Oryctolagus cuniculus: one gene and its partners. The main gene of each other region encodes a partner of the protein of the gene in region 2 in a complex. Links are inferred from orthologs where the notes say so. Each region holds a gene or a part of one and is shown on either strand. Other genes may lie near its edges.

What was found. Proteins that work in one complex are often made in the same cells at the same time.
Region 1: MED25 (region 2) and MED21 share a complex: the UniProt entries of both Homo sapiens proteins name them as parts of the mediator complex. The link is inferred for Oryctolagus cuniculus from reciprocal best matches to the Homo sapiens genes MED25 and MED21.
Region 3: MED25 (region 2) and MED19 share a complex: the UniProt entries of both Homo sapiens proteins name them as parts of the mediator complex. The link is inferred for Oryctolagus cuniculus from reciprocal best matches to the Homo sapiens genes MED25 and MED19.
Region 4: MED25 (region 2) and MED8 share a complex: the UniProt entries of both Homo sapiens proteins name them as parts of the mediator complex. The link is inferred for Oryctolagus cuniculus from reciprocal best matches to the Homo sapiens genes MED25 and MED8.

Annotation. Positions count from the first base shown.
Region 1 is NC_091440.1:124,252,605-124,260,130, reverse strand, and holds the start of MED21 (mediator of RNA polymerase II transcription subunit 21), read right to left. Parts: upstream 4,230-7,526; 5' UTR 4,029-4,229; coding exon 3,987-4,028; intron 1,612-3,986; coding exon 1,497-1,611; intron 640-1,496; coding exon 539-639; intron 1-538. UniProt on the Homo sapiens protein: Component of the Mediator complex, a coactivator involved in the regulated transcription of nearly all RNA polymerase II-dependent genes.
Region 2 is NC_091449.1:7,729,762-7,736,763, forward strand, and holds part of MED25 (mediator of RNA polymerase II transcription subunit 25), read right to left. Parts: intron 2,828-7,002; coding exon 2,729-2,827; intron 2,575-2,728; coding exon 2,454-2,574; intron 1,632-2,453; coding exon 1,469-1,631; intron 1,360-1,468; coding exon 1,232-1,359; intron 1,065-1,231; coding exon 977-1,064; intron 891-976; coding exon 697-890; intron 361-696; coding exon 232-360; intron 1-231. UniProt on the Homo sapiens protein: Component of the Mediator complex, a coactivator involved in the regulated transcription of nearly all RNA polymerase II-dependent genes.
Region 3 is NC_091432.1:14,438,973-14,446,774, reverse strand, and holds the start of MED19 (mediator of RNA polymerase II transcription subunit 19), read right to left. Parts: upstream 4,230-7,802; 5' UTR 4,147-4,229; coding exon 3,930-4,146; intron 1-3,929. Other genes in the region: TMX2 (thioredoxin-related transmembrane protein 2), read left to right, coding at 4,601-4,789. UniProt on the Homo sapiens protein: Component of the Mediator complex, a coactivator involved in the regulated transcription of nearly all RNA polymerase II-dependent genes.
Region 4 is NC_091438.1:129,632,488-129,640,177, reverse strand, and holds the start of MED8 (mediator of RNA polymerase II transcription subunit 8), read right to left. Parts: upstream 4,230-7,690; 5' UTR 4,122-4,229; coding exon 4,116-4,121; intron 2,867-4,115; exon of another isoform or gene 2,848-2,866; coding exon 2,729-2,847; intron 1,360-2,728; coding exon 1,215-1,359; intron 1-1,214. Other genes in the region: KICSTOR complex protein SZT2, read left to right, coding at 4,315-4,341. UniProt on the Homo sapiens protein: Component of the Mediator complex, a coactivator involved in the regulated transcription of nearly all RNA polymerase II-dependent genes.

The DNA.
Region 1 (7,526 bases), on a different chromosome or scaffold from region 2:
CCTGTTCAAGTTCTGGCTGCTCTACTTCAGATCCAGCTCCCTGCTAATGTGCCTAGGAAGGCAGCAAAGGATGGCCCAAGTCCTTGGACCCTTGCACCTACATGGGAGACCCGGAAGAAGCTCCTGGCTCCAGCCTGGTCCAGCTGTGATCATTTCGGAAGTGAACTAGAGTATGGAAAGTATGGGGACAGTGTTGTGAGATGCAGTTGGTTAAGCCACCTCCTGCAATGCCAGCATCCCACATGACTGCTTGGGCTCCTGTCACCCACATGGGAGACCCAGATGGAATTCCAGGCTCTTGGCTTCAGCCTGACCCAGGCCAGACTGTGGTGGCCATTTGGGGAGTGAACCAGTGAATGGAAGGTATCTCTGTCTCCGGCTCCCTCTCTGACTTTGTCTTTCAAGTAAATCCAAGAGTAAATCCTTAAAAATAATCATAAAATAGTTCTGAATATTACAATGAAAGTCAATAAATCTATCTCCTTCAATTCAAAATTCTCTGCTACCAGTAAAATTCTCTAAGAAAAAAGGTTGTTACCTGTAACGCAGCTGTGGATTCTTCACTGGGTAAAGAATCTATCAAAACATCAATATCTTTTGCTGTTCGTGCAATAAGTGCTGCAAAAAGCTGGGCATACTCTGCAGAAAGACTACTCAATTAGTATGAGAAAATCTCGGGTTTACACAAACAGAAAATTAGATTCAAGTTAATGAAACCAGGAAACTTCACCTAACTTTTTAATATTAGAATTCCAATGATCAAAGTGTTATTTTAATGAGTCAGTGTAGTGATGCACTGGGTTGAGCCACTAATCGTAATGCTGGCAACCCATGTCCCAGTGCTGGTTCAAGTCCTGGCTCCTCTGCTTCTGATCCTGCTCGCTGCTAATGTCCCTGGGATAGCAGCAGAAGATGGCCCAAGTACTTGGACCCCTACCACCCATGTGTGAGACCTGGATGGAGTTCCTGGCTCAGTCCCGGCCTTTATGTCCCTGTGGGGAATGAACCAGTAGATGGAAGGTATCTCTCATGCTCTCTGTCTCTCCCTCACTCTCTATCACTCTGCCTTTCAAATAGAAATATTTAAAAGAAAAAAATCAATTTCAAGGCACCAGTTCTGTTACATATTTAACTTAATACAGGCTCAGAGAATTAAGCCTAAGGCATGTTCACTTCATGTATTAGGATAATATGGAAGACACTAGAATCAATGAATCTGTACATGGGATGCCCTAATTATCAGGGTCCGTCAGTAAAGTTCAGCCAAATTCCTAATTCTCTCCAAGGGCACCAATCTGGTATGACACAAGAAGAATTATGGTATTATGCAAGTTAACTACAATAAATAATTTCTGGTATGACATACAAAACGTCCAGTAGTACCTCAGTAACATCTGTATAAAGAAGCAACAGAGTGAATTTCTAAATAAATCTAATTTAAAGGATTACACGAAGTCCGAGAATCAAATAAAGGGAAGCCAAGAAAAGCTGTTTACCTTCGGTGGGATTAGCAGGCTGGTCTTTGTTAATGGCTGTCTGAATGTTGTTAAAAGAGGCAGGAGGCCCACCCTGCTGCAGCACTCCAATGGCGTTACAGAACTGATCTGCAAGCTTGGGCCAGAGAAAACAGGTCAGGATTATACAAAGTTTATCAAGTCTAAAGCTTTTGCTGGTAATGGCAACAAGTTTCCCAAAACAATGCTCTCTGAGCAGGGGAGTGAATCAGAAAGGAGTAATTTCGGATAAAACAAGCCAGTGTGTTAACAATGATTAGATATTTCAACCATGCAAATAAACTTAGTATCAACCTAGGTGGTGTTGATATCAATCTAGATGAGACAGTAAAAATGGAATTAAAAGATCAATATATTTTTATGCAAAAAAATTTTGCAGCCCATGCAAACTTGTATCATCTTTCTTGTCTTCTGAAGCTAACAGAATGATAAAGACAATTTTGTGCCAATATTACAGGCAACGAGACTTTCCACGTATGGCCCCAGATTTAATTTAAAAAAGTGTTACTCATATACAATTCCTTTTCTGAGATCTCAGTGTTCACAAGGCAAAGAAATAGGGGAAATAAGGTGCCTTTTCTAATGCAGTGCTAAGGCTCGCGTTGTTAAAGTATTCCTTCAGCAGCTCTCAAGACTGAGAAACCAGTGCCTTACCATCTTCAACCAGGGACCACAGCTCCCCACCAATCCTCTCACTAGGCCTGACCTCTCAGACCTCAAGTCCTATTTCCCATCAGTGAGGAAGCATTTCCACCGCCCTTCTCCGCCATGACTGCAATGGCCGGACTCGAAGTCACCTGCTCCCCGGATAAGTATCTAACTGGTCTTGAGAGCGTCCTAGCCAACCAGTCTCATTCCAGAGCCTCATGCCTTCCAGCTTCCTATCCCGCGGATGGTTCATTCTCCCCCTTCTGTTCCATCACTTACCTCCTGCCAGAATTACTGCAATCGCGCCCTCACTGTTCTCTGGTTACCCATCGTATTCCCCCCTGCACAAAAACCGCCGGCTCACTCCACTGCGGTCAGCAAGCGGTTTCCAACTTTTCAATAATAATCTCAGCCAGCTCTTCCTAAACATTTTTCACATTTTACTCCCTCACAGTTACTCGCTAGTTATCAGTTTGCTGGTTTGCTATTTGCAATGGAGGGGGAAGAGCTTGGAAGCTATATAAACCTAGATTCTAATCCTGGTTTGATTAACCGGACAAACAGCGGAAACGCACAAAAAACCCTTCAACACAGTGGCTATCTGTACTGTCCCTCACAAGCTTTCAAGATCCATTTAGACGTTCATTCAACAAACAGTGATTGAAAAAAACTCCACGGCAAGAAACGAACATAAACCTAACAGCCGTAACACAAATATGGTGAACACGACATGAATAATTACGATTACGATAATTCAGTATTTCAGGGCGCATGGCTCCATATTCCAATTTACTCAGCACTGACAGCTGAAAACACCGCATTCATTCTAACTCCCTAACCCCATAGTGTTTTTACATCATTTAAACGTCCCCTGAGTATGTGACATCATCCTTATGCCCTTCAGGCTGTCCCTTTGGAACTACGATTGGGCTCCGACACAGCAGGCGCTCATGGCGTACCCTGAAGGCTTCTCTGGAGACCCCAGCTACCAGCAGGCCTCCCCCTGGGGGAGAGGCCACACTCCCTCCGCCCTGCCTCGCCTCCAGGGGCCAGGCCACGAAGGAAGGCTTCCATCCAGCACCAGCATGTGTAGAAGCTCCCCGAGGGCCTGGCAGGATGTCACCCACACTCGGTGGCTGCCCGCTCAGCCTCGCAAGCTCCCGCGCTGTTCACAGCACGCTGGCGCTCTGCAAGCGCTCGGCTCGTCAGCTTCAAGGGCTGGGGGGTGAACAATCACAGTGCCCGCCCAGGCACCCGCCCGGGGACAGCAGCCCCAGCAGGCAGGGCAGCCAGCGGCCGCTCCAAGCCCAGGGCCTAGGGCTCGCACGCACTCTCAGGTGCAAAGCATCGCCAGGGACAACGCCAGGGGAGCCGCTTCTCAAACCCAGGGACCTCAACGCCCGACACAAGGTTCACAAGCTTCCAGACGTCAGCTCTCGCCATCCCCGCCTGAGGGAGCGAACACAACTTCTCCAGGCGCCACCGCTCCTGCTCCCGCCCCTCGAAGTACCGGAGCCCGGCTAAGGCGTCGCACCGAGACGCAGTCTCCAGGGCCCCGGGGCCGAGGTATACGCAGAGAACCGCGTCTGCTTTCTTCTCCTCCCGCCCCCAGCACCAGTGTCCGGCGAGCCCCGTGAGGCCGCCGCCGGGCAAAGGGGCTGCTCCCTCCGCGGCCCCCGCGGCCGGCCTCGAACGCCCCGAATTCGCAGAGGCACCGCCTCCATCTGCTCGCCACCGCCGAAGGCTGCGTCTCGGGCCTCTTCTCCTCCCCCGTTTTACCTCAGGAATGAGGCAGACCGCAAGTAAGCGAATTAAAGCGCCTACCGAGTTCACGGCGTCTTGCAGCTGTGTGAGGCGGTCCGCCATGTTCCTCCCGCACGCAGAGACGCTGCAGCAGCTGCTCCTACGCGATTGGCCAGCTTTCGTACGGGTCACGGCCAATCAGAGTGCGGCTCTCCGGAAGGGGTGGGGTCATGGAGGACACGCCCCGCGAGGAGGGGCGGGTGCCGGGGAGAACGCCGGGTGAGCTACCTGGACCTGCAGCGGCTGGGGCCCGGCATCCTTTGCGCGACTGGGCTCCCTTTCAGGTTGTGAGGTGGTCAGCTGTTTACCGAGATCGTTGAATTCTGTGGGATTATTTAGTGGTTTGTCCTACTTTCCCATGTATTTAAAAATTTATTTATATATTGTCATTTTATTAGAGAGGCAGATTAAGTTCTATCTGCTGATTGATTTTCCAAGTGCCTGCAGCAACTAGGGGCTGAGCCTGGCCAAAGCCAGAGCCTGGAACTCAGTGCAGGTCTCCCACCTGGGAACCACTCCAGCTATAACCTGCTGCCTATCTGGTGCTCACTAGCAGAAGCTAAAATCAGGAGCAGAGCTGGGATTCGAACTCAAGCCCTGTGATGCAGCTGTCCCAAGCAGTGCCTTAGCCACCATGCCACACACCCACCGCCTGCCCAGGGCTACCCCAGTAATCCAGTGGATTAATCCACTCAGAAGGGCCGAGTCACCTTTCCCTATCACTGCCCTGCACAGCTCAGAAACTGTCAACTGACTCATCTCTACTTGCACATCTCAAAGGCACCTGATGTAGTTCAGGTTTGCTGTCACATGCCAGAGAGAGATGCAGTTCCCTAGCTATCCTGGACTGCTCGGGACCCTACTGCAGGAGCAAGGCCGGCGCAGGCGGGTCACAGAGTATCCACACCTCACCTTTTGCTTCATGTTAACACTAAGAGCTCCACCCCAGGGGGAGTGTGAGCTGTGCTGCCGTATGGTGCAGCCAGTGTTGGAGCATTCTTCCAAACTGTACCTTCATGGACCTGTACCCACCCCCAGGTGTGATCAGAACCTCCCTCTTACCTGCTCATCTTTCCCTCTCCCCTGCTCACAGAGTCACGGCTTTGGAAATGACTCCTTGTGGTCTCCTTGTCTGCTGCAGATATATGACTTGGTGTGACAGCTCCTTCTGGTGCATTCCTTAGATGCATGAATGCGGCAGACACATTCAAAGCATGGCAGTGGGGGAGACAGTCCTTGGGGAACTCAGCTTGCAGGACTGAGCCCGGCCCTTTCTGGGAAGCCCCACCTCTGCGTCAATAGACCTGACCTGCTGGGGGAACCACACAGGTGAGACACTTCCCATATCATGGTACCAATGCCAAGTGACTCTCATTTGCTTTAACTGTAGTTTGGAGCAGTCTGTAGCTTTCTTGTACCAGTTGAGAGTATACCGTACCGAATGTTGCACCGTGCCATGGAAGCTGCGTTTGCAAGGGGCAAAAGGTCAGGGACTTGCTAGGAGTTCTACACTTGCCCAAATGTGAGATGAATAGGGCCTGAACTAGAGTGTTGACCTTGATAAAAGCAGAAGTAAAGACTAGAACCCATCTAGGTCTCCCACGTGGGTGCAGGGGTCCAAGCACTTGGGCCATCTTCCGCTGCTTTTCCCAGGCCATTAGCAGAGAGCTTTGTCAGAAGTGGATCAGCGGGACTCCAACCATTGGTCATGTGGGATGTTGGTGTTGCTGGTGGTGCAGGTGCCACAATCCGCTGTGCCACCACTCTGGCCACAGCCTCTTTTCAGAGCCAGTGTTTGTAACCAATCATGTTGTAAAGAATGTTGACGGGGATGGCGCTGTGGCGTAGCAGGTAAAGCCACTGCCTGAAGTGTTGACATCACATATGGGCACCAGTTCCTGTCTGAGCTGCTCCACTTCCAATCCAGCTCTCTGCTATGGCTTGGAAAAACAGCAGAAGATGGCCCAAGTCCTTAGCATCCTGAACCTACCTGGGAGACTGGGAAGAAGCTCCTGGCTCCTGGCTTCAGATCAGTGCAGCTCCAGCCATTGCAGATGGAGTGAACCAGCAGATAGAAGACCTCTCTCTCTCTCTCTCTGCCTCTCTGTAACACTGCCTTTCAAATAAATAAATAAATACTTTAAAAAAAAAAGGAAGAAGAAGAATGTTGTCTCCAGCCCATGAGGAATTCACCCTCCACTTACCTAAAGCCCGCAATTTTGGGCCAAGCCATTGTATCTTCTGTCGTGGATGGTTATGTTCCAACCAGAATTTGACCACACTGGGACACTTCCCAAGACTCATTCAGTCACTGGGCTTGTGTCTCCCTGGCCTGCTCACTCATATTGTCCCGAGTCAGCCCTGTATGAATCACTTTACAGAGCCTGCTTTGTTCCTGTCAATGCTCTGACATCCTGCGACCCCCACCCCGCTCCTTGGCTGCACATCCCCACTTCTCCATGCTGCATTCAGACTTGAGTCCAAGCTCTCCTCCACTCTGCAAGACCCTGTTGTGGTGCTGGTACCTATCTTGGTAGGCCTGGGTAAAGACTTCCTCACCATGCTTTAACAGTATCATTGAATAGCTTTTTCTGTAACAACCAGCTTCTGTACCAATCAATTGGCTACAGCTTAATTGACTAATTGTTTACAGCTTCATGTGTTAAACTGACTACAGGGCCTTCTACAGCCACTCAACAATGACTTACTGTGGTTAAACTTGATAACTGAGTAGGTCAACCAGTTCAGGTACCCCATGCGAATCCCTGGCCTTCAACAAAATCTTACTTAGCACATGTACATTTCATGAATGTGTAGAGTCCATGTAGATGTGCTTCTCTTGCACGTGCCCCACCCCACCACGAGCTGAATGACATGTGGTTTTAAGAGGAGGGACCCAGTATTATATGTCTCATCTTTTAAACAGCTAATGTGGGTAAGTACTTTCTTTTAAACTTTATATTATTAAAAGTTTCAAACATACACAAGAGTAGTGAACCTTCATGTAGGTATCACCCAGTTCAACAATTATCAACTCAAAACCAATGTCATCATTAGTACTTTTTTTTAACAATCTATTTAATTTGAAAGGCAGAGTGACAGAGCTAGAGAGACACACACAGAGAGAGAGATTACTTTTATCCACTGTTTCACTCCCTAAATGCCCTTAGCAACTAGGGCAGGGGCAGACTGAAATCAGGAGCTAGAAACTCCATCTGTGTCTCCCACAGAGGTGTCGGGGACCCAAGTACCTGAGCCATGATCTACTGCCTTCCCAGGTGCATTAGCAGGAAGACAGATCAGAAGCAGAGCAGGCGGGATGTGAACCGGCACTCCAGTATGTACGTAGGCATCCCAAGCAGCTGCCTAACCCTCTGTGCCGCAACACCCACCCCCAGTACTTTGGTTTTTTAATCTATAGTAACTCTAGTTTTTCGGAAAAAAAATCATTATTTTTAACTTGGTGTCTTAACCCCTTAACTACCTTTTTTACCTGTTGAGCACTAGGCTGCATCACTGTAGAAGAGCATTGGCTGTGCTGATCCTGCTGTTCTGTTGCAC
Region 2 (7,002 bases):
CACCCCACGTCCCCACCACGCCGGGCCCGTCTGCACCCCATGTCCCCGCCACACTGGGCCTGTCTGCACCCCATGTCCCCACCATACCAGGCCCGTCTACACCCCACGTCCTAGAGTTCTGGGATCTTCCCTCGCACTTCTGAACACTCGCTCATCCTGAACCCACAGCCCCAAGCCCCGTGTCCTCAGGCCTCGCCCCTGGACAGCACCCCCGCCCCGGCGGCCACTCACCTCCTGCCACTCGAGGACCCCGCTCCAGGCCAGGAGCTTGTTGGAGACCGACTGCTGCCCGCCGAGGGCCGGGGTCCCCAGCTGGGCCGGGGAGGGGCCGCTCACCCCGCCAGGGGCCACTGTGCCGGCCTGCGGAGGGGAAGCAGGGGAGGGCGCGGGCTCAGACCACCTCCTGCAGGAGGCCGGCCGGTCAGGAAGACCGGGACCAGATTCCTCCTCTCACCCCACGCCCAGGACAGCGCTTGGCCGCTCCTGGGGACAGCACCGCGCCCGGCCCCACTGCATCCGAGGACGCCACGCCCCACGGCGCTGGGCCGGGCAGCCCCAGGCTGCAGAGCAGCTGTGACCGTCGAGCCACAAGCCTCCCGCCCCCCTGGGTGCTTCTAGGAGGGCCAATCACTCGTCCCCTACACTGCATGGCTCCGGCAGCCAGGAGGGAGCGGGATGGGGGCACCAGGCACCTACCATGGACGGTGCCCCGGGCTGGGCAGAGGGCGCCAGGCCCGCGCCAGGGGCCACAGTGGAGACCAGGCTAGGCTGGGAAGCAGGCGGTGGCTTGGGGGCACCAGGGGGTCCTGGAGGGAGTGGGGGCGCAGCGGCCTGGCTGAAGGGGGCACCCACTCCCGAGGCAGCTTGCTGGAGAGGGTTGATGGGCGAGACTGCAGGAGAGAGCGAGGGCGTGGTGGGCGCAGGGCCGCGCTGAGGCCTGCCCGCAGCCCACGTCCATGGCGGCCCCAGGACTCACAGCGGGGGCCCAGGCCAGCCTTCTGGTTCTTGGCGGCCTCCACGGCGTTCTGGGCGGCGACCTGAGCTGCACTCAGGTTCCCAGGGACCTGGGGGCAGAGGGGAGCGGCTGGTGGGGGCTGTGAACGCCATGGGGCGCACCCCCACAGCCCCACGAGGCAGACGCCAGCCTCTTAACACCCCGGGGCAGCGGCCACCACCCCCAGCCCCGATGTCGGAGGACGCCCTCCCTGAGGCCCAGGAGTGACACCCGTACCTGGTACTGCGGCGGCACGGGCGGCAGAGGCTGCTGGGGGGCTGCGAGTGCGGCACCCGAGGACGGAGCAGGAGGCAGCGGGACCGGCTGTTTTGGCTGCAGGGGGCCTGGCGCCGAGCCACCCCCAACTGGGAGCCAACAGGAGGGGTTCAGGATGGAGAGGACCAAATCCAAACCCAGGTCAGAGAGAGGCGGCAGCAGAGAGCCCAGCCCCCACCCCGCGGGCACCGGGCTCACCAGGCAGCACGAGGCCCCGCACCAGCACCATGTGCCTCGGGTCCTGGCTCACGTCGGCCGGCGGCTGCAGCGGCTCCAGCAAGGACGGGGGCGCCGCCTTCTCAAACAGAAGCCGCAGCGCAGGCAGCTTGCGGGGGGACACGACGGAGAAGTGGATTCCCTGCTGTGGGGGGACAGGACGGGAAGTGGGTGCCCTGCTGTGGGGGACAGGACGGGAAGTGGGTGCCCTGCTGTGGGGGACAGGATGGGAAGTGGGTGCCCTGCTGTGGGGGGACAAGATGGGAAGTGGGTGCCCTGCTGTGGGGGGACAGGACGGGAAATGGGTGCCCTGCTGTGGGGGGGGGACAGGACGGGAAGTGGGTGCCCTGCTGTGGGGGACATGATGGGAAGTGGGTGCCCTGCTGTAGGGGGACAAGATGGGAAGTGGGTGCCCTGCTGTGGGGGACACAACGGGAAGTGAGTGCCCTGCTGCGGGGGGACACGATGGGAAGTGGGTGCCCTGCTGCGGGGGGGGGACACAACGGGAAGTGGGGGCCCTGCTGGGGGGGACAGGACGGGAAGTGGGGGCTCTGCTGTGGGGGGGGACACGACGGGAAGTGGGGGTCCTACTGCGGGGGGACAGGAAGTGGGTGCCCTGCTGTGGGGGGACACGACGGGAAGTGGGGGCCCTGCTGTGGGGACAGGATGGGAAGTGGGTGCCCTGCTGTGGGGGGACAGGACGGGAAGTGGGTGCCCTGCTGCAGGGGGGGACAGGATGGGAAGTGGGGGCCCTGCTGGGGGGGGACAGGACGGGAAGTGGGGGCCCTGCTGTGGGGGGGATACGACAGGAAGTGGGTGCCCTGATGTAGGGCAGAGCAGAGCAGAGCAGGGGGGACGCGGGGCCAGCCCCGGGTGCCCACACCTGACAGGCCTTAACCACAGTTCTCACTGGCCGAGGCAGGGACGGCAGACTCGGGGAGCTGCCCAGGGCACTCTGGGTCCTCACCTCCCCAATCTTCTGCACCAGGCTGTCGGTCGTGCAGCCCGAGTACGTGGTGCTCTCCACGGCGGGCAGCAGGTACGGGGGGGAGTTGCAGATCAGCAGGCACACGCGGTGCGTCTGGCCGCTGCAGGTCAAGAAAGGCATGGAGCAGCCACCACGGGGCCTTGAGGAGGCCGCAGACCCCGACCCCAGCTGCCTGCCCCACGCCCCCACCACAGACCACGTGGTCCCGGGCCAGCTGGCACGAGCCCGGCCCAGGCCGCGCGAGGGGCACTCACATCTGCTCCCGCATCTTCTTGAAGTCGTCGAACAGCTGCAGGGCTGTGCTGAGGCCTTCGGCGATGAGGCTGCAGCTCTCACCGCCCCCGCCCATGAACCTGCCGGAGGTCAGGGGTCAGCCAACGTGCCCCTCGCCCCCCCGCCGGCCTGTGTTCCCTGCACTGTCCCCGCAGTGGGCACAGCACCAGGCCAAGGGCGTGGACGGGGCACCTGTGCTGTCCTGATCCTGGGATGACCCTGTCCACACTCCACACCCCTGGCCATCTAGTCCATCTTTAAAGCCAGCCCTGGGCTCACCTCACCTTCCCAGCAGGTAGAGGGACCCCTTTGTCTCCCAGCACCTGGTGGGTTTGAGTGTCTCCCTCTCCCCAAATAAAACAAGCTGAGATCCTGCCCCTAGTACCTCAAAATGTGACCCGACTGTAAATGGGATCTTTAAAAACTTTTTTAAATTTTACTTGAAAAGCACCCCCACAACACACACACAGGCGGTGATACTCCTCCTAACCGTGCGTTCACTCCCCTCCCCAAATGCCTGCAACAGCCAGGGCTGGGCAAAGCCAGAGCCAGCAGCTGGGAGCTGCACGCAGGGCAAACGTGGGTGGCAGGGGTCCAGGCACCCGAGCTCCACCTGCTGCCTCCGGGCGCTGGGCAGCGGACGCTGCGTCCCAGGCAGGGCATCACCCACGGTGCCCCTCGCCCACCTGGAAACACGCGTTCTCCCCAGGTGATCGAGTTAAACAGGTCACCAGGGGACAGCAGGGCAGACCCTGGGGTGTTAGGCAGGAAGTCAGTTATGAGCTTACGTGTGTGTGCCAAAGGCCTCCCGAGAAAACTTCTACGTTCAGCATATGCATCTGCATCTCAAAGTCATCCTGATGGTGTTACAGGGGCAGCCCGGTATTCGCATCTTCACATCCTGCCCTGCCCCCTTCTACCTGATGACCTGCCAGGTGGAGATTCCCCCCGACTTCCGCCTGACAAATCCTCCACAGTCTCCCAGGTGCAGCCCAGTACCTGCATCTCAAACACCCTGCTCCGGATCCCCATTCTCCAGGGGGTCCTGCTCACCCTTCCTCTGAACCCAGGATGGCGCCAGCTGGGCTTCCTCCTGTCTGATACCTTCAGGGGAAAACTCAGATAGGAGCTTCTTAATATTTACAGCCATAAAATCCTTTGATTCAGGAGGAGATGTGTGAAGACAGAGACCCATCTCCTTAACCCTCCCCCCCCCCCGCCCCCAGCCTCAACCGGACTGCGCGCTCAGCCCTCTGCCTCTCTGCTGAGCCGCCCGCCTGGTCTGGTCAGGTGTACTCTCTCCACTCAACCATGTAACATCCCCCCCCCCCCCCCCCCAGTCCGAGCGACTGCACTCTTTCCCAGGTCCTGTCTGGAGAGGTGCCCATCCATCCTCACGGATGTCCCTTCCCTAATAAACCTTGCTATTTTACTATTTTACCTCCCACTGCTCTCTGTCTCACGCCTGAATTCTTTCTTGCGCGAAGACAAGAACCCTGCAATTTCTCCGGTAACAGGGGAAGACGGCGCCAGCCGAGGGAGCTGTGTGATGACGGGGGCGACACAAGCCAGGGGCATCTGGGACGACCAGAAGCCGGGAAAGGAAACCAAGCCTCGCCCATTGGCCCCCAGAGAGAGGCCTGGCCGGCGCCTGGAACCCAGACTTGCGGCCTTCCAACCTGCAGCCGATCTGTGTCTGCTCAGGCACTCAGCACTCCGCGGGTGCGGCCCAGGGAAAACACCCAGGCACAGGCACAGGCACGCTCGCACTCGGCCGCTCCTGTGGGGAGGGGGCAGGGCCTGCTGCAGGGCTGTGGGTGACCCTGTGCCTGGCCCACGCAAGTTAGCCTCACTGCGGGCAGGCAGCAGCAGCCCCAGGCCCGTTCCCCCACCCCAGCCTCCTGCGGAAGAGCCCGGAACTGCCCATCAGGTAAACAGCCCCCGGGCGCGGCCCAGGCCCATCAGGAAGGCTGCAGGACCTTCAAGCTGGTTGAGAAGCAGAGCGCGCCAACGGCGGCCTTACCCTCTAGCGCTGGTGTTGCCCTGAATTAGCCACGCCCCCCGCCTGCCCTTTTCTATCTCATGCTTGATCGTCAATAAGCAGACTTGTTCACCAAAACCGGTCTCTGGCGCTTCTTGCAGAACGCCGTCAACCCACCATCCCGGCAGTGTGGACCTTGCAGGACGAGCCCACACACGGGCGGGTCCAAGCCCTCTCACCACCAGCCTGTGCACCTGGGGGCCTTGGAAAACGTGTCTTCAACAAACGGATGGCCACATCCATTAGGGCGGGAGCAGACCCAAGCCCCCGCCGGGCACCTGCACCCCCTGGGCCTGGTCCACCATCACTGGCCTCTCTGGACATGCTCCAAGGGGCAGTCCACGGTCACCTGGACCGAGACGAGACGAGACGGCGGCTGCCAGGGCACCGTGAACTGCCAAAACGCCCGAGGTCAACACCGCTCCTTGTTTGGAACAAAGAGCCCGCTGGCCCGAGACCTGCTCACCCGCGGCCCACGAGTGCTCTCCCAGCCTCCGTCCACTCCCTGGAAAAGCCTGGTGAACCCCTCAGCTCCCTCTCCCTCTTATAAAGCCCTCACTCTCCTGTGTATTTCTTCTCTCACTGAATAAATGCTAAAACCATTAAAAAAAAAAGTCCGAGGGCCACAGTGAAAGGCTAAACTTTGAAATCCTAAAACTTGCTCTTTCTTCTGAATGAACACAAACAGAACTCAGAGAGAAAAACAAACATTCTGTCAGAGATGAGCAACGCTTCTACTGGGGAACAGAAACAAACACTGCCGGTCACAGGACACAGCTTCCCCACGGAGCTGGCACCGGCACCTGCGACACCGGCATCGCATACGGGGCCCGGCTGCTCCGCTGCCCATCCAGCTCCCTGCTGGCGCGCCTGGGGCAGCAGCAGGCGACGACCTGAGTGCTTGGGCCCTGCACCCACGTGGGAGACCCGGACGGAGCTCCTGCCGCCTGGCTTGTGGTCATTTGGGGAGGAAGAGGCAGATGAATGATCCCTGTCCCTCTCTCTCTGCCTTTTAAATAAATAAATCTTTTTTAAAAAATTGAAAAAAACAAAAATAAAAGGGTCTTGGACAACGTAGGCATCACACCCTCAAGTCTCCCCCCCCAACCCGCAAGGGTCAAAGGCCACAGGAGGGAGCACGCACAGCGCACAGCCGGCAGCCCACGAGGGCTCCCCTCGCCAGCCCCTCGCCCCAGCCCACATCCGCGCCAGGACGAGGGCCTTGCGTCCTGTGCCCACGGACGTTGACTGAACACGGGGTCACGACGCGGGAGAGAAGATGCGGGGGTCTCCCGTCCCCCTGCTGCGGAGAAGCCCAACCCCTGTAGGACGGAGCGCAACGTGAGAACCAGTCTGTCCAGGCAAGGGCTGCACGCCCGGCCCTGAGCGCCTGCCAGCCGGGGAGGAGAGAAGACTCCTCCAGGCGGCACAGAGCCTGCTTGCCTGGGGCTGCCGTGTCTCTCCCTGGCCAAGGTCACGGGCACAGACTCCGAGGGTGACACAGGCCTGATGAACACGGCAGACTCCAGTGCTCACTGGCCGACTGGCAGGGAACACAGGCTCCAGGGCCGGGTGTCCTGAGTGACAGGGAGGGGGGTGGGACCAAGGGTTCAGAAAGCAGCTCCTCCGGTGCCCCAGGCTCCAGCAGGAGGTCTGAAGGGGCCGACCCGACCCGACGTTTAAACCCCCGGAGAGCGGAGGATCAGCTCTCACCCACGGGTTTATTCAGCCGAGCTCTCTCGAGGCCCCGGGCGCTCCCTCCTGGAGGTGTGGGCCATGATGGCCTCACACAGAGACGCGGCTTGTGTGGATGTGATCTGGGCATGCACTCAACACCCTTGCTCAGGCTTCCCAGGGACCAGGCCCTGCTCGGACACGAGGCGTGGCCTCAGGCTCCAGGAGCCCCCGAGAACAGGGGTCTGCCCACGAGAGGCCCCAGCAGTTCCGAGGCAGACATCAAGGGGGAAGCCACCGGGCTCCAGCGAGCAGAGAGCGGGGCCACCAGCGGGCGGCCCGGCCGACAGAGCCAGAGTGCAGAGTGCCAACAGGCCTGCTTAGGCAGGGACGCGGGCATTTGGGGAGTGAACCAGCAGATACTCTCTCCCATTCTTTCAAATAAATAAATAAATAAAACCTTTAAAAATGTGCCTCAGTACAAGAACACTCTTGAAATCTGTGCAGTTTTCCACAATGTGCATTTCCACGAAGTTTTTT
Region 3 (7,802 bases), on a different chromosome or scaffold from region 2:
TCACCCCCCCAAATGGCTGCTACGGCCAGCATGCTGCGCTGATTTGAAGCCCAGAGCCAGGTGCTTCCTCTGGGTCTCCCATGTGGGTGCAGGGCCCAAGCACTTGGGCCATCCTCCACTGCCCTCCCAGGCCACAGCAGAGAGCTGGACTGGAAGAGGAGCAACCAGGACTAGAATCCGGTGCCCCAACTGGGACTAGAACCCTGTGCGCCGGCGCCGCAGGCGGAGGATTAGCCAAGTGAGCAGTGGCGCTGGCCTTTTTTTTTTTTTTTTTTAAAGATTTATTTTGGGGTCACCGCCTGCAGTGCCATCATCCCATATCGGCACTGGTTCGAGTCCCAGCTGCTCCACTTCCAATCCAGTGCTTTTCTAGGGCCTGGGAAAGCAGTGGAAGATGGCTCAAATCCTTGGGCCCCTGCACTTGTGTGGTAGACCTGGAAGCTCCTGGCTCCTGATCAGCGGAGCTCTGACTGTTGCAGGCACTTGGGGAGTGAGCCAGTAGATGATGGAAGACCTCTCTCTCTCTCTCTGCCTCTCCTTCGCTCTTTGTGTAACTCTTTAAAATCTTATTTGAAAAGATGGAATTGCAGAGAGAGGTCTTCCTTCAGCTGATTCACTCCCTAAATGGCCGCAATGGCAGGAGTTGAGCTGATCCAAAGCCAGGAGCTTCCACTGGTTCTCCCACATGGGGCAGGGGCCCAAGGAGCTGGGCCATTTCCCACTGCTTTCCCAGGCCATGGCAGAGAGCTGGATCAGAAGTGGAACAGCCAAGACTTGAACGGGCACCCTTATGGGATGCCAGCACTGCAGGTGGTAGCTTTACCCACTATGCCACAGTGTCAGCCCCTGTTTTTTCTCTTTAACAATCAAAAAACACTCATCATAGTTATATAGAAAAACAGCAAGGAGATTTTTCTAGCTACTGTTGCTTAACTTTGGTTACCAACATCTTTATTCTCCCTAATGTTACTGAGTATAATGCTTTGCAGACAAAGAAGAAATCTGTAGTTAGAAATTGGCTGGACAACTAGAATTCTAGTGCTGTTCTCCATGCCTTAGTTTCTTGTTATCTGTGGAATGCAATAATAGCTATCTTAAGTAAACTTCATTTTTTTTTCAAGATTTAAATGAAAACATACTGAAAAGTATAAATAATCTAAATTTATGGTAAGGGTGAAAATATCTAACCCACAACTTCATCTGTAATTATGATGGACACCCAGGGTACCATGAGCAAAATGATAACTGGGAAAACTCGGGCTCTGAACTGTGGGCTTCTTGAAGGCAGACAACGCTCTGTTCACGTGTTGCTAGTGCTCAGTATTAAGGTGCTTTTCCTGACTGCCCCTAGGCCTTACTGCATCCGTTTCTTTCCCGGCACTGCCAGATGTGTCAGAAGAGTAGTCTGTAACAGCAGCAGCTCTGTAACTGGCACTGCTGCTTGCTACTGCTTTCTGATGTTCCCTCCTCTCTGCCAGTTATCTTCCTCCCAGGTGGTTTTGCTGAAGGTCAGGGAGAAGGTACTGTGCTTTTTCTAAACTCTAACTTCCTGTTTTTGACTATTGCTTTGTAGTTAATTTATAAATCTTTCTCCCCAGCTCTGACTCCTCTCCTGAATGAACCTTCTTTGCAGTAAATTTCATGCAGATTCAATTTTTTTTAATTCAAATTCTTGCCCATGTCACTTATGGCTTCTTCATTTCAATCATGGCACCGCCATTCTTGAGATGTTTTAGAAAGCAGGACTTCTGAGTTCAAAAACCTTCAGGTTTCCTGTTACTCTCGGGAGAAAGCACCCGTTCCTCAGGCATCCAGGGTTATTCACATCTGACTGCATCCAACTTAGCTCTGGGCTTCATCAGCCACTACTTCCCCAAAGGTAAAATTTCTTTCTTTTTGGTAAAATTTCTGATCCATTCAAATGAGTCTCCACACTTATGAGAAAAAAAAATAGGCATTCCCTCTTATATTGTTTCCTTTTAGGAAAAATCTGTTGTTTTTTTTTTTTTTTCCCCAACCAATGTGAATTCTTCACAGTCCAGCTCAAGTGACATCTAATTTCTTGCTGTCATCATGGATACACCACATTTTGAAAACCATCAAGGAGTTAATGCTGTTCACTAAGATACTGTTAGCTGTGCAGTATTTAAGGCATGACTGCAAAGTAATGAGACTGGTATCGATGAGAAACAGTCACTTGTTTATCCACAAACCACATACTGTGCTTCCCTAACTAACTAAAATAGTCTTCTTATAAACCAAGGACCAAGGGTGGGCATTTGCAGCAGTCGTCACGACACTGCTTGGGATGCCCGTATCCCATACTAGAGTGGCTGGGTTCCGTGCCGGCTCCTTTGCTTCTGCTCCAACCTCCAGCTAGGATGCAGGCTGCCAGGCAGCAGATGACGGCAAGGACTCGATTCCTGCCAGCCACAAAGGAGACCTGGATCAAGTTCCCAACTCCTGGCTTTGGCCTGGCCCAGCCCTGGCTGTTGGGGGCATTTGGGGAGTGAACCAGCAGATGGAATGTCTCTCTGCGTCTCTCCCTGGCTTTCAAATAAAGTAAAAATTAGGAAGTAAGGCCCAGACCTGACATCTCTTTCCCCCTTTCAACACATCATTGTTCCTGCACATAGAGCATTTACCAAGAACAGATACCAAGTATCTGCCAACGGGCTGACAGAAACAAGCACAATCAGAGTAAGTGAAAAAAGCTTAAAGAAACTGCTGGTGGTTGTCTCTCTGCATTTCAAATAAAAGGAAAACTATAGTTTAAGAAAAAGCACTAGGGTCCGGCACTGTGGCATAGCAGGTAAAGCCGCAACCGGCAGTGCCGGCATCCCAAATGGGCACCAGTTTGAGTCTCAGCTGCTCCTCTTCTGATCCAGTTCTCTGCTGTGGCCTGGGAAAGCAGCAGAAGATGGCCCACGGCCTCGGGCTCTTGTACCCATGTGGGAGACCCGGAAGAAGCTCCTGGCTCCTGGCTTCGGATCAGCCCAGCCCCAGCTGTTGTGGCCATCTGGGGAGTGACCCAGAGGATGGAAGACCTCTCTCTCTCTCTCTGCCTCTCCTCTCTGTTAACTCTGATCATCTAGCAACAGTTATGTCCATTTTCTAAAAGTGAACATCTTTTAATTCAGTTTTTCCACATTTTAAAAATTATTTTATTTGAAAGGCACAGGATGAAATCTTGCATCTGCTGGCCCACTCCGCAGATGCCTGCAACAGCCGCGACTGAGTCTGGAGCTCCACACAGGTCTCCCCTGACAGCGGTAGGAATCCAGGGACGTGCCATCGTCCGCTGCCATCCAGGGTGTACACAGGGTTAGGACTCAATCCAATATGGGATGCGGGCGTTCCAAGCCGTGGCTTAACCTACCGCACCACAACGCCTGCCTCCACCTCAACTCTTGATCACGTTTTCATCCAGCATTAATCACTATCTGATGCTATCTTGCTTACGCTGTCTCCAATGGCAAAAAGGACAAAGATCTTGCCAGTCTGGTTCACAGCTGTAGCTCCAGCATGCAGAACAAACCACATAAATTTGATATGAAATAATTTCGTGTCCTTCTAATCCCGTCTTTGAATAGATGAAGAAACTTACCCCCAAACCAACAGCCAGCCTGAGGCGGACTGAAACTAAAAAACCTCGGTTCCCTAGGCATATCATTTGAGTTCCGATCTCCATGACCCTGGAGAAGCCAGTGTCAGGGGCACAGCCCAGACCCAGAGACACACACCCACCTCCTCCCAATCCATCCCACGAACCCAATCATCCCTGTGGCTGCGAATCTTCGCAGCTCTTGCAAGTTCCAGCTCCACGGCCCGGGTCCGTGCAGCCTCTGCACCTCCAGCAGCCGGCCAACAGCCACGCCCTCACCTCTTCAGCATTGGACTGGTTAGCTTCGGCCAGGCCTAGTACTCACCAGGCAGTTCCCGCATTAGATAGAAGGGGCCACAACCAGCCACTGACTTGTCTGTGCCGGGAGGAGCGGTGGCCGCCGTGGGAGGCGGCGCTGTGCCGGGTCCCCCGCCCGGCGGCGGCGGGGGCGGGGGTGGAGGCTTTCCTGGTCCGAAGCCTAGTGCGGCTGGGGGAGGTGGTGGGTCAGCTTGAGCCCCGAACAGCGCCGTGAAATTCTCCATCGTCCCCTCCGCACCGGCGCTGCCTCAGTGTCTGGCGTTGATGACTATCATTGGACAATCCTTTCACGGGGTACCGCCCTCTTCCTGTAAAGAAAGCTTATCATTGGATATCTGTGGCTCCACCTACCTTTTTCTGGCAACAACTTCCGTCGCTTTCTGAAAACGTTCAGGAAGTGCTATCTAACCTGATTGAATTCTTCTGGGTCACTTCCGCGGGCCATAAACACATATCCAATAAAATGACCTTGGTAGAAAAAGCGACAACTAGATTGGCCAGTAAACCGGTCAACTCCACTTTTCAACTCGGAATTACGGCGGCATCCAATGAGAAATCTACTTCCGGGTCTAGAGGCGGTTCTTCTGGTAGTTGGGCCAATAGAACGCTCAATGGGGTGGGAGGCGGGCCCAGATTTACGGACGCCGGTGAGCGGCGGGCGCCGCAGGACCTGGAAACATGGCGGTCTTAGCGCCTTTGATTGCTCTGGTGTATTCGGTGCCGCGACTTTCACGATGGCTGGCCAGGCCTTACTACCTTCTGTCTGCCCTGCTCTCTGCTGCCTTCCTGCTCGTGAGGAAATTGCCACCGCTCTGCCATGGACTCCCCACCCAACGCGAAGACGGCAACCCGTGTGACTTTGACTGGGTGAGCGCTCTAGGGCTCAGAACCCCGCGACCTTGACTGTCCCTGCCCCTGCGGGTGCATGTGGAGTCCCGAGTTTCACCTTCCTAAGGACACTTGAGGTTCCCAGCCTCTAGCGGGCTTGCAGACTGCTGAAGGGTGTAGGGCGCAGACTGTCATCGCATCTAAACGAAGTGTTTACGATGGGAAAACGGAGGCGGTGCCTGGTAGCCCCTGCACGACAGCCCCAGTCCGGGCTTCCTGACGCCTCGCTGTTCCTGCCAGTAGACAGCCGTGCCCAAACTCGGCACCTGTGTGGCGTTCTGCAGTACTGCTCATTGTGCAAAGCCTCCCGAGGAGCCTGGGGCGGGGGGCGACGAGGCGGGTAGTGGTCGTAGTCCGGTTTCCTGCTTGAAGAAACCGGCCTGCGCGTGGGCAGCCGACGCGCCCGGGGTCACACGACTGGAGTGCCTGGGCCTTTACAGCGACTTTTCCGGCCATTGGGACTTGCTCGTTCTGTCAGCCATCTCTTCATTGAGCACACTGTGTGCTAAGTACTGTGCTGCACCCGGATGTGGGATGCAAAATTGAATAAAACCTGAAAAGGAATTGGAGAAAAATAAAATAAAATACGTGCCAGGCCGCCTGCGGTGCTTCCTCAGTAGTTTTGAGACCGCTTATTAAAAAAAAAAAAAAAAAAAAGAGTTTAGCCCTCTCCTGGGTAGCAGCATCTGTGGTTTTTTTTGTTTTGTTTTGCCTTTTTTTTTTTTTTTTTAAGAGTCATTTATTTGAAAGTCAGAATTACACAGAGGGAGGTCTTTCATCTGCTGTTCACTCCCCAATTGGCCGCAGCGGCCAGAGCTACACTGGTGCGAAGCCAGGAGCTTCCTCCTGGTCTCCCACAAGGGTGCAGGGGCCCAAGGACTTCGGCCATCTTCAACTGCCTTCCCAGGCCACAGCAGAGAGCTGGATCAGAAGAGGAGCAGCTGGCCGCCTAGCGGCGCCGGCACACCGGGTTCTAGTCCCGGTCGGGGCGCCGGATTCTGTCCCGGTTGCCCCTCTTCCAGGCCAGCTCTGCTGTGGCCCGGGAGTGCAGTGGAGGATGGCCCAAGTGCTTGGGCTCTGCACCCCATGGGAGACCAGGAGAAGCACCTGGCTCCTGGCTCCTGCCATCGGATCAGCGCGGTGCGCCGGCCGCGGCGGCCATTGGAGGGTGAACCAACGGCAAAGGAAGACCTTTCTCTCTGTCTCTCTCTCTCACTGTCCACTCTGCCTGTCAAAAAAAAAAAAAAAAAAAAAAAAAGAAGAGGAGCAGCTGGGACTTGAACCAGTGGCCATATGAGGTGCTGGTACTGCAGGCAGTGGCTTTTACCCGCTACGCCACAACTGGCCCCCAGCATCTGTGTTCTGATGGAGGACCGACATAAAGAATTTTCCTCTTTTTCCCAGCTACCCACATTTGTCTTGGATTTACCAGAACCCATCCCCTTCCCTTACCCCTCCTTCCCTTGTTTGTTTCCTGCTTCCTCCGCCCTTTCCCAGGCAGGATCAGTGATTAATCAAATGTAGCCATGCTATGTCAAAGGATCCTTTTTTTTTTTTTTCTGATACTTGACACTACTTTAAGGAAAGTGAGACTCAAAAATATAAGTAGGTAGGGGCCGGCACTGTGGTACAGCGGGTTAACGCCCTAGCATGAAGCACCAGCATCCCATATGGGCGCCTGTTTGAGACCCGGCTGCTCCACTTCCAATCCAGCTCTCTGCTGTGGCCTGGGAAAGCAGTAGAAGATGGCCCAAGTCCCTGGGCCCCTGCACCTGCTTGGGAGACCCGGAAGAAGCTCCTGCCTTCTGGCTTTGGATCGGTGCAGCTCTGGCCGTTGCGGCCATCTGGGGAGTGAACCATCGGATGGAAGATCTCTCTCTCTCTCTCTCTCTCTGCCTCTCCTCTCTGTGTTACTCTCACTTTCAAATAAATAAAATAAATACATCTTTAAAAAAATATAGGTAGAAATAAAGGTTTCAAGAAATGTAGGCAATCTTCATCCCTCTATATCCTTTTGTCTAATATACAAAGTACTGAAAGTTTTCTAGATTTTTATTATGGTGTTTAAAAAATTCATTTAGAGTTAATAAGTAGTTTTCATTTTCCTGGAAAATTCAGTTTACTGATTTACCTTGGTGATTGGAGAGTCAGGGAATAAGGTAATAACATAAAACAGCAGTAACAGCTAAACCTCAAGATTTTAGTAGCTTAACAAAGTAAAGGTTTATTTCTATTCCATTAGATAAAGTGAATATTTCTTGTTCTTTTCCTATATGCACTGTGTTTTGTAATAACCAAGTAATTGAAAAGGGAATTTTATTGATGGAATTTTAGTTAGGAAATGCAGATGAAATGATAGTATTAAAATCATTTTTTAGAACTCAAAGTAATACATCTAGGCAATGATCATTTGTGGATGCTAAAACTTTACATCAGGTGACAGGTAAACACATTTCCTGCAGCCACACAGTGGGGACCACATAGAACCAAGTGTGATGTGTTTTTGCCTAAAAATTTGGATTTCATTGTATTTATGCCTCTAGATTTCACTACCACTTTACAAGAAATATGGGAGGGGCAGCAAAACCAGCGATGTGCAGCATCCCATATGGTCATTGGTTCAAGTCCTGGCTGTTCCATTTCTGATCCAGCTCCCTGCTGATGGCCTGGGAAAAGCAGTGAAGAGGGCCCAAATCCTTGGGCCCCTGCAACCCATGTGGGAGTCCTGGAAGAAGCTCCAGGCTCCTGGCTCCTAACCAGGTCTGGCCTATTGGCCGTTTGGGGAGTGAACCCGCAGATGGAAGATCTGCCTCTGCCTCTGTGTAACTCTGCCTTCAAATAAACAAACAAATCTTTGGTGTTTTTTTTATTTTATTTTTTTATTTTTTTTATTTGAAAGGCAGAGTTACAGAGAAAGAGGGAGGTCTTTTATCCACTGGTTCACTCCCCAAATGGCCACAATGGCTAGAGCTGGTACAATCAGGAGCCAGGA
Region 4 (7,690 bases), on a different chromosome or scaffold from region 2:
TCCTGGCTGCTCTACTTCTGATCCAGCTCTCTACTGATGCACTTGGGAAGACAGTGGAGGATGATCCAAGACCTTGGACCCCTGCACTCGTGTGAGAGACCCGGAAGAAGCTCCTGGCTCCTGGCTTCAGATTGGCCCAGCTCTGGCCATTGTGGCCATTTGGGGAGTGAACTGGTGAATGGAAGACCTGCCTGTCTCTCTCTGTCTCTACCTCTCTCTGTAACTCTTTCAAATAAATAAAATAAACCTTAAAAAGGAAGGAAGGAATGAGGGAAGAAAGAGTAGGTTACAGATAGAGATCTTCCATCTGCTGGTGAAAGGAAGGGAGGGAGGGAGGGAGGGAGGAAGGAAAGAAAGAGTGATTTACAGATCGAGAGAGACATCTTCCAACTGCTGTTTCACTCCCCAAATGGCCACCAATGGCCAGGGCTGGGCCAGGCTGAAGCCAAGAGCCAGGAGCTTCTTCTGAGTCTCCCACGTGGGTGCAAGGGCCCAAGCACTTGATAGGGACCATCTTCTACTGCTTTCCCAGGCACATTAGCAGGGAGCTGGATCAGAAGTGGAGCATGGGGCCAGCACCGTGGTATACGGGTGAAGCTGCTGCCTGCAATGCCAGCACCCCATATGGGTGCTGGTACAAGTCCCAGCTGCTCCACTTCCAATCCAGCTCTCTGCTATGGCCTAGGAAAGCAGTAGAAGATGGTTCAAAATTCTTGGGCCCCGGCACCCCCATGGGAGACCCGGAAGACGCTCCTGGCTCCTGGATTTGGACTGGCAGAGCTCCAGTGGTTGCAGCCATTTGGGGAGTGAACCTGCAGATGGAAAACCTCTCTCTCTCTCTCTCTCTCTGCCTCTCAAATAATTAAAATCTTTAAAAAAAAAATAAAAATAAAAAAGAAGTTGAGCAGCTGGGAATCGAAATGGAGCCCATAAGGGACACTAGCATTGCAGGCAGTGGCTTAACCTGCCAGGCCACAGTGCCAGCCCCAGAAAAGATCTTTGCCTTGGTAACACAGATCTTAGGTTATTACAGCACTATTTGGAAGCTGCTTCCCTACTCTAAGACAAAAGGCAAGGCCTCCAAAATATAGCCCTGCTTCTTACTGCCATGAACTACCCCACATTCAGAACTTCTAGAATAACCAATCGACAACCGTGCCCTAGGCTTTCACCTAAGAATGTAATTTCCCAAGTTTCCCCTTTTACTCTCTTACCATGAGATCTTCATCCCGGTCTGGGGATAACACCAGAGGGATGATGACCTGGTTGCGGAACAGCGGTGTCTTTTCATGCTTCAAGACCTTGTTCAGGGTGTTCAACTGTCCAGAAAGCAAGGCAAAGCTGTCCAGGACAGAGGGCCTAGTGGTGGTAAGAAAGTGTCAGAATGTTCTAGCCCTTCCCTGGGGTGTCTCCCAGTGAGATAACCTTTGACAAGTCCTCAGATTAGGAAAACTGAGACTGACCCCCAAAAGACTCATCCCCATCACGAGCCTCGGCAGGACCCAGACCTGGAACAGGAATGCGGGGTTAGGAAAGAGGGACACGCTTTCAGCTCCTGACGGAGGCAGAAAAAGGCAGTTCATTGTTTGAATGGGGTGAGAAACACTGGAAAACAGGAACCATGGCTATTCTATGACAAAAAAAATCAGAAACTGGGTGAAAGCCTCCTTTCTGCCGGGAAACAGGAGCCATACTTCAGCAGTAGGCTGGATCTAAAAGACAGCCACATTAGTGGCAAGAGATCCAGCATGGACTGAGATATAGTGGGAAGACCCACTGAGAGAGAACTCCTGACCAGAGATGAAAAGGGTAAGAATCAAAAGCGGCCAGCGCCACGGCTCACTAGGCTAATCCTCCACCTAGCGGTGCTGGCACACCGGGTTCTATCCCGGTCGGGGCACCGGATTCTGTCCCGGTTGCCCCTCTTCCAGGCTAACTCTCTGCTGTGGCCAGGGAGTGCAGTGGAGGATGGCCCAAGTGCTTGGGCCCTGCACCCCATGGGAGACCAGGAGAAGCAGCTGGCTCCTGCCATCGGATCAGCGTGGTGCGCCGGCCGCAGCGCACCAGCCGTGGCAGCCACTGGAGGGTGAACCAACGGCAAAAGGAAGACCTTTCTCTCTGTCTCTCTCTCTCACTATCCACTCTGCCTGTCAAAAAAAAAAAAAAAAAAAGAATCAAAAGCTAGAAAGAACGTGGCTGGGCCGGTGCCTTGGCTCACTTGGTTAATCCTCCACCTGCGGTGCCAGCATCCCATATGGGCACCAGGTTCTAGTCCCGGTTGCTCCTCTTCCGGTCCAGCTCTCTGCTGTGGCCCAGGAGGGCAGTGGAGGATGGCCCAAGTGCTTGGGCCCCTGCACCCGCAAGGGAGACCAGGAGAAGCACCTGGCTCCTAGCTTCGGATCAGCGCAGCGCCGGCTGTAGTGGCTGTTTGGGGAGTGAAGCAACGGAAGGAAGACCTTTCTGTCTCTCTCTGTCTATATCTCTACCTTTCAAATAAATAAAAATAAAATTAAAAAAAAAAAAGAAAGAAAGAAAGAACGTGGCTTGGGAAACTGGGCCGCTCTCTACTTCCTTGCCACGGAGGCCCTCAGCCAAACTTCACTTACTAAATGTTGGGAAACCAAGCTCTTTCCAAATTACCCGACATCTGCAAACTGATAAATGGTTACATCATCAGAGATGAACTACTCGTCAGGAGCCCTCCCCAGTTTGCCCTGGCAACCCTTACCAGGTTAGCCTGTCATACTCGTTCTCCAGCTTGTAAATGAAACTTCCCAGTGAGTTCTTCAGATCAGCCACTTGACTCAGCAGTGCATCTAATGACGCCTCCAACTGCTTCTCCTCCCTCTGCACCAACAGAGATGGGCTGGTTACCCAGAGAGATATGAGCATGACACCTTTAGAAGAAGGCTGAAAAGCGTCGGAGAGAGTATGCCAACCGCAGTTGGCTAACACCGGATCTCACTGGAATGACAGCCAGGTTATTTTCTATCTTTGGTATTTGGGTTACAGACAGCACCAACCCTTAGACCTTTCACCTGACCTTAAGTCCTCCTACCAACTGATTCTCGCTCTCACACCTCCAAATCCAGGCCTGCTTTTCCTCTGTATTGCACGTGCCCTACTCTCCCTTGTTGAGAAACTCCTGCCAGACATAATGCCTGGGATTCATCATCCTATGCACATTTCTGTGGCACGTGTGCCCTAGCTTCCTTCGTCCTAGAATCTGCCCTGTTCTTGTCAACAGCACAGCCCCTGCGAAATCTGCCTGGACATGAAGCTTTCTCTGAACCCTAGTTCTGCACGCCCCTGCCCCTCGCTCCTCATTCGTGCTTAGTGGGTGATGTTTCAACTTTCTCCTTTATTTCTGTGCCAATATTCCTGTGCCTCTTTCACAAGCTCAGCTGACCCAGAAGGACTTACTGAAACACTGCCCCATCCAAGAAGCAAAGCGACAAGTGAAAAGCAAAACCACCCACCCAGCTCACATGACAAGCAATGTCAAGTAGTGGGGGTCTGCAGGCATTCCCTTCCCACGGTGTGGGGGGGTATCTTCCGTTTTACTTCATTTCCTCCGTCTTAATAACTCTCAGGCACAGACTGGGAAAAATGATGCCAACCCCACACTGCGCCTGACAGGAGCATCATCTTGGGTTTCACCCAAGGTTTCAGTTGATAACAACTTAGCTTCTGGCCAGCTCGGCCCACAATTCCTTCACCCTTCGGGCTTCTCTCCGATTGCAGATTCGCCGTTACGTCTGCATCCAACAGCCTAGGCTGAGGCTTGAGCCAATTCATGTCTCTCTCGGGCCGTCTCCCTTGGATTGTATCTCGGCTTTCGCAAACTACATCCTGATGCTTTCCCAGCCCCAAACAAGCGGCGGCTGCCTCCGCCCTCCCGACTTTGCTAGTCTCTCCCCTGTCAGCGGACTCCGCCCCCACGTAGCATCCGCGCCGCTTCTCCACTTGGCCTCGTCTCCCCTCTGCCCTGGCCCCGCGTCCTCTTGCCTCCGCCCTCTCCTCTTCGGTCCAACTCCTAACTCTCCGCAGCCAGCCCACTCTCGCTGCGTTACCCAAAGACAGCTAGCTGCCACTAGGCCCACCCCGCTTCTCACCTGCATTGCGGCAGCCGTGGCAGCCGCAACCACTTCCTCTTCCGGTTTCCCAGTTTCTGAGGGTTTTGTCCACCAATCAAGGAAATCGGGGCTTGGCCCGCCCACCGACTTCCGGTTCCGGCCCGGTACTGAGGTAGCCAGGTCAGGGGTCACAGTGGATCTGCCTCACTGGCCCGGGCCGGCGCGGGAAGGCTGTGTGATGGCCTCGGAGCGCCCGGAGCCTGAGGTGAGGGGCGGGCGGGCGCAGAGCTGGGCCCTGAGACCCGAGCGGGAGGAGCGGGCGGTGCGGGCAGGCGCGACCTCGGCCTCCTGGCCGGCCGACGGCCGGGCCGCGTAGCGTCGGCAGGGACCCTTGCAGCCCCGCATCCCCGCAGTCCGTTCTTTCCTCCGGAGGCTGGAGGAGAAATGCTTCGCTCGCTCTGTTGTGCTTACTGAAATCTCTTCCGCGTCGCCGACTTGACCTAGTGACAGTGGTGTTAATAAACCCTGTGATTTGGTTCCTGTCGCGGTTTCAGTGCGCTGGACGGCAGCAGCCGGTGCGTGTCTTCAGACACGGGCGTGCAGTAAACAGCACGAGTTAATTTAGTTTTAGCACTCATGATGGGGAAAGCAGCTTTGGTTTTATTGGGGGGGGGGGGGGGCTTGGCTCGGAGTGAGACCCAGTTCGGATTTTAGCGCTGCTATTTAGCTCTCTCTGAAGCCTGGGGCAAGTCTTAACTTCCTGGATTCTGTTTCTTTGTTGTTAGTCTGTTGTGAGAATCACGTGTGTGAAGCCAGAAAAGGCTTAAGCTCTCTCTGTCAGATGCCAAGGACCATGCAAGCAACTTTACATACATTGTGTCATTCACGTTTGCACAATATCCATTCTCATTTTCAGAAAAGAAAACTGAAAAGTAAGATAGGTCAAGTGCTGTACATACGCCTGAGAGTAGCAGATTTTTGGAGTTAGAAAATCTGAGCATAAAATCCCAGATTTGGGTAGAGATGCCCAGCACTGTTGGAGAACATACCAACAGATGGGAACAGTGAGGAATGTGTGTAAGAATGCAAATAGGCCGGCGCCGCGGCTCACTAGGCGAGTCCTCCGCCTGCGGCGCTTGCACTCCAGGTTCTAGTCCCAGTTGGGGCGCTGGATTCTGTCCCGGTTGCTCCTCTTCCAGTCCAGCTCTCTGCTGTGGCTCGGGAAGGCAGTGGAGGATGGCCCAAGTGCTTGGGCCCTGCACCCGCCTGGGAGACCAGGAGAAAGCACCTGGCTCCTGGCTTCCGATTGGTGCAGCGCCGGCCGTAGCAGGCATTTGGGGGGTGAACCAACGGAAGGAAGACCTTTCTCTGTGTCTCTCTCACTGTCTAATTCTGCCTGTCAAAAAAAAAAAAAAATACAAATAGTATACCTTACCTGCATGCCGGCCGCCATTGTAAGCGGTTTACCAATGGCAGCTCATCCTCTCCACCCTTTTCAGTTAAGGAGACTGAGGCTCAGAGATGTTATGAGTAGCAAAGCTACACAGTATTAAATATTAGAGCTGGATTCCAAAATAGGTGGTCTGGCACTGCGGTTTTTTGTTTTTGTTTGTTTGTTTGTTTGTTTTTATTTTTGTTTTCTGATGCGGATGCAGGTGTCTGAGGCAGCAGCTTAAGCGGCTTCATCACAGCACCCACCACCAATTTTTAAAAAAAGATTCATTTATTTAGTTATTTATTTGAAAGGCAGAGTTAGAGAGAGAGGCAGAGAGAGAGAGAGATCTTCCATTTGCTGGTTCACTCTCCAAATGGCTGCAATGGCCAGAACTGGGCAGATCCGAAGCCAGGAGCCAGGAGCTTCTGCTGGGTCTCCCACACGGGTACAGGGGCCCAAGCACTTGGGCCATCTTCCACTGCCTTCCCAGGCCACAGCAGAGAGCTGGACTGGAAGTGGAGTAGTTGGGACTCAAACCAGCACTCATATGGGATGCCAGCACTACAGATGGTGGCTTTACTTGCTATGCCACAGCATCGGCCCTGGCTCTGTGTTCTTAACCTTTATGTTTATAGTATAAATAATAAAGTAGTCACAGGATAGCAACTCTCCAGTTTATTAGGATTTGGTGTGGTGAGACCCAACAATCAAAAACAGCTATGCTCTTTTTGCAAACAGTCAGACACTTATACAGAGGTGGTGGGACAGCCCATGCACTAGAAATAACAGTATTGAGAAAATCATGAAACAATTTGAAGTATGTTTTGTTATGGGTTAAAATGAGAGGAAATTGAGGAATGTTGCAAGTAGTCTAAAATAGTACTCTCCTGCCTTAATATAAGCCACATATGTAATTTAAAATTTCATAATAGCTACACAGTGAATTTAAAAAGCAGGTAAAATAATTTAGCATACAATTTCCAAAGTAGCATCATTTTAATGTGTAACAAATGTTTAAAAATGAGATATTTAACATCCTTTTTTTGTACCGTCTTTTTTTTTTTTTTAAGATTATTTGAGATGCAGAGTTTCTGACAGAGAGAGGAGAGACAGAGATCTTCCATCTACTAGTTCACTCCCACAAATGGCTGCAATGGTCAGAGCTGATCTGATCTGAAGCCAGGAGCCAGGAGCTTCTTCCAGGTCTCTCATGTGGGTGTAGGGGCCCAAGCACTTGGACCATCTTCTGCTGCTTTGCCAGGCCATAGCAGAGAGCTGGATTAGAAGAGGAGCAGCTGGGACACAGACTGAATGGGATGCCAGCAACCATAGGCAGAGGCTTAACCCACTATGCCACAGCACTGGGCCCTGAACCAAGTCTTTAAAATCCAGTGTGTACTTTACACTTAGAGCACATCTCATTTTGGGTTAGCAAAGTTCCAAGTGCTCAATGGTACGGGCTTGTGGGGAGCAACTCGGACTAGACTAAGTTACTGGAATTAAGACTTATTCTATGCATCTGCTCTCCCACAATATGGTGCGGAGAAGGGAGAAACAGCTTCTACATAGCTGCCTCCAGTTCAACCAATAAACTGTAGGACCTGCTCCTGATTGGAGGAGAGCAGCGTACTCGGCGTGTGGGTAGCAGAGTTGGGATTGGTGGAAGAGGACTATAAAGGAGGAGAGAGACAACGTGCACCAGGAACATCTAAGGGGAACATCTGAAGGAACACCTGTGCAGCCCCTGAGAGAGCCGGCTGGCGGTGTGCCGCTCCCCTGCGGAAGTGGGGAAAGTGGCCAGGGGGAACCGCCCTTCCACGGAGGTGGAAGGGACAGTAGCCAACCCGGGAAGAACCAGCAGCAAACCCGGGGAGGGCCGAGCAGACGAAAGAACAGCGCAGGGTCCTGTGTCGTTCCTCCACGAAGAGGGGGAGCGACATAATGGTGCCGTGACTCGGATATGAAGCCTAGGCAGGGTTTAGTGTCGTTCCTCCACGAAGAGGGGGAGTGACACGGGCTACCATATTGAACAGTACAGATAGAATGTAATTTCGAGTCACGCACACACACTCCTATGTCTCATTCAGCCAAAAGTTAAGCATCGGTTCAGTTTTTGATTTGCATTTCTGAAAATTTTATCTCAGAAGGTAAAGGTAGTGAGAAAAAGTTCTGCTCCTGG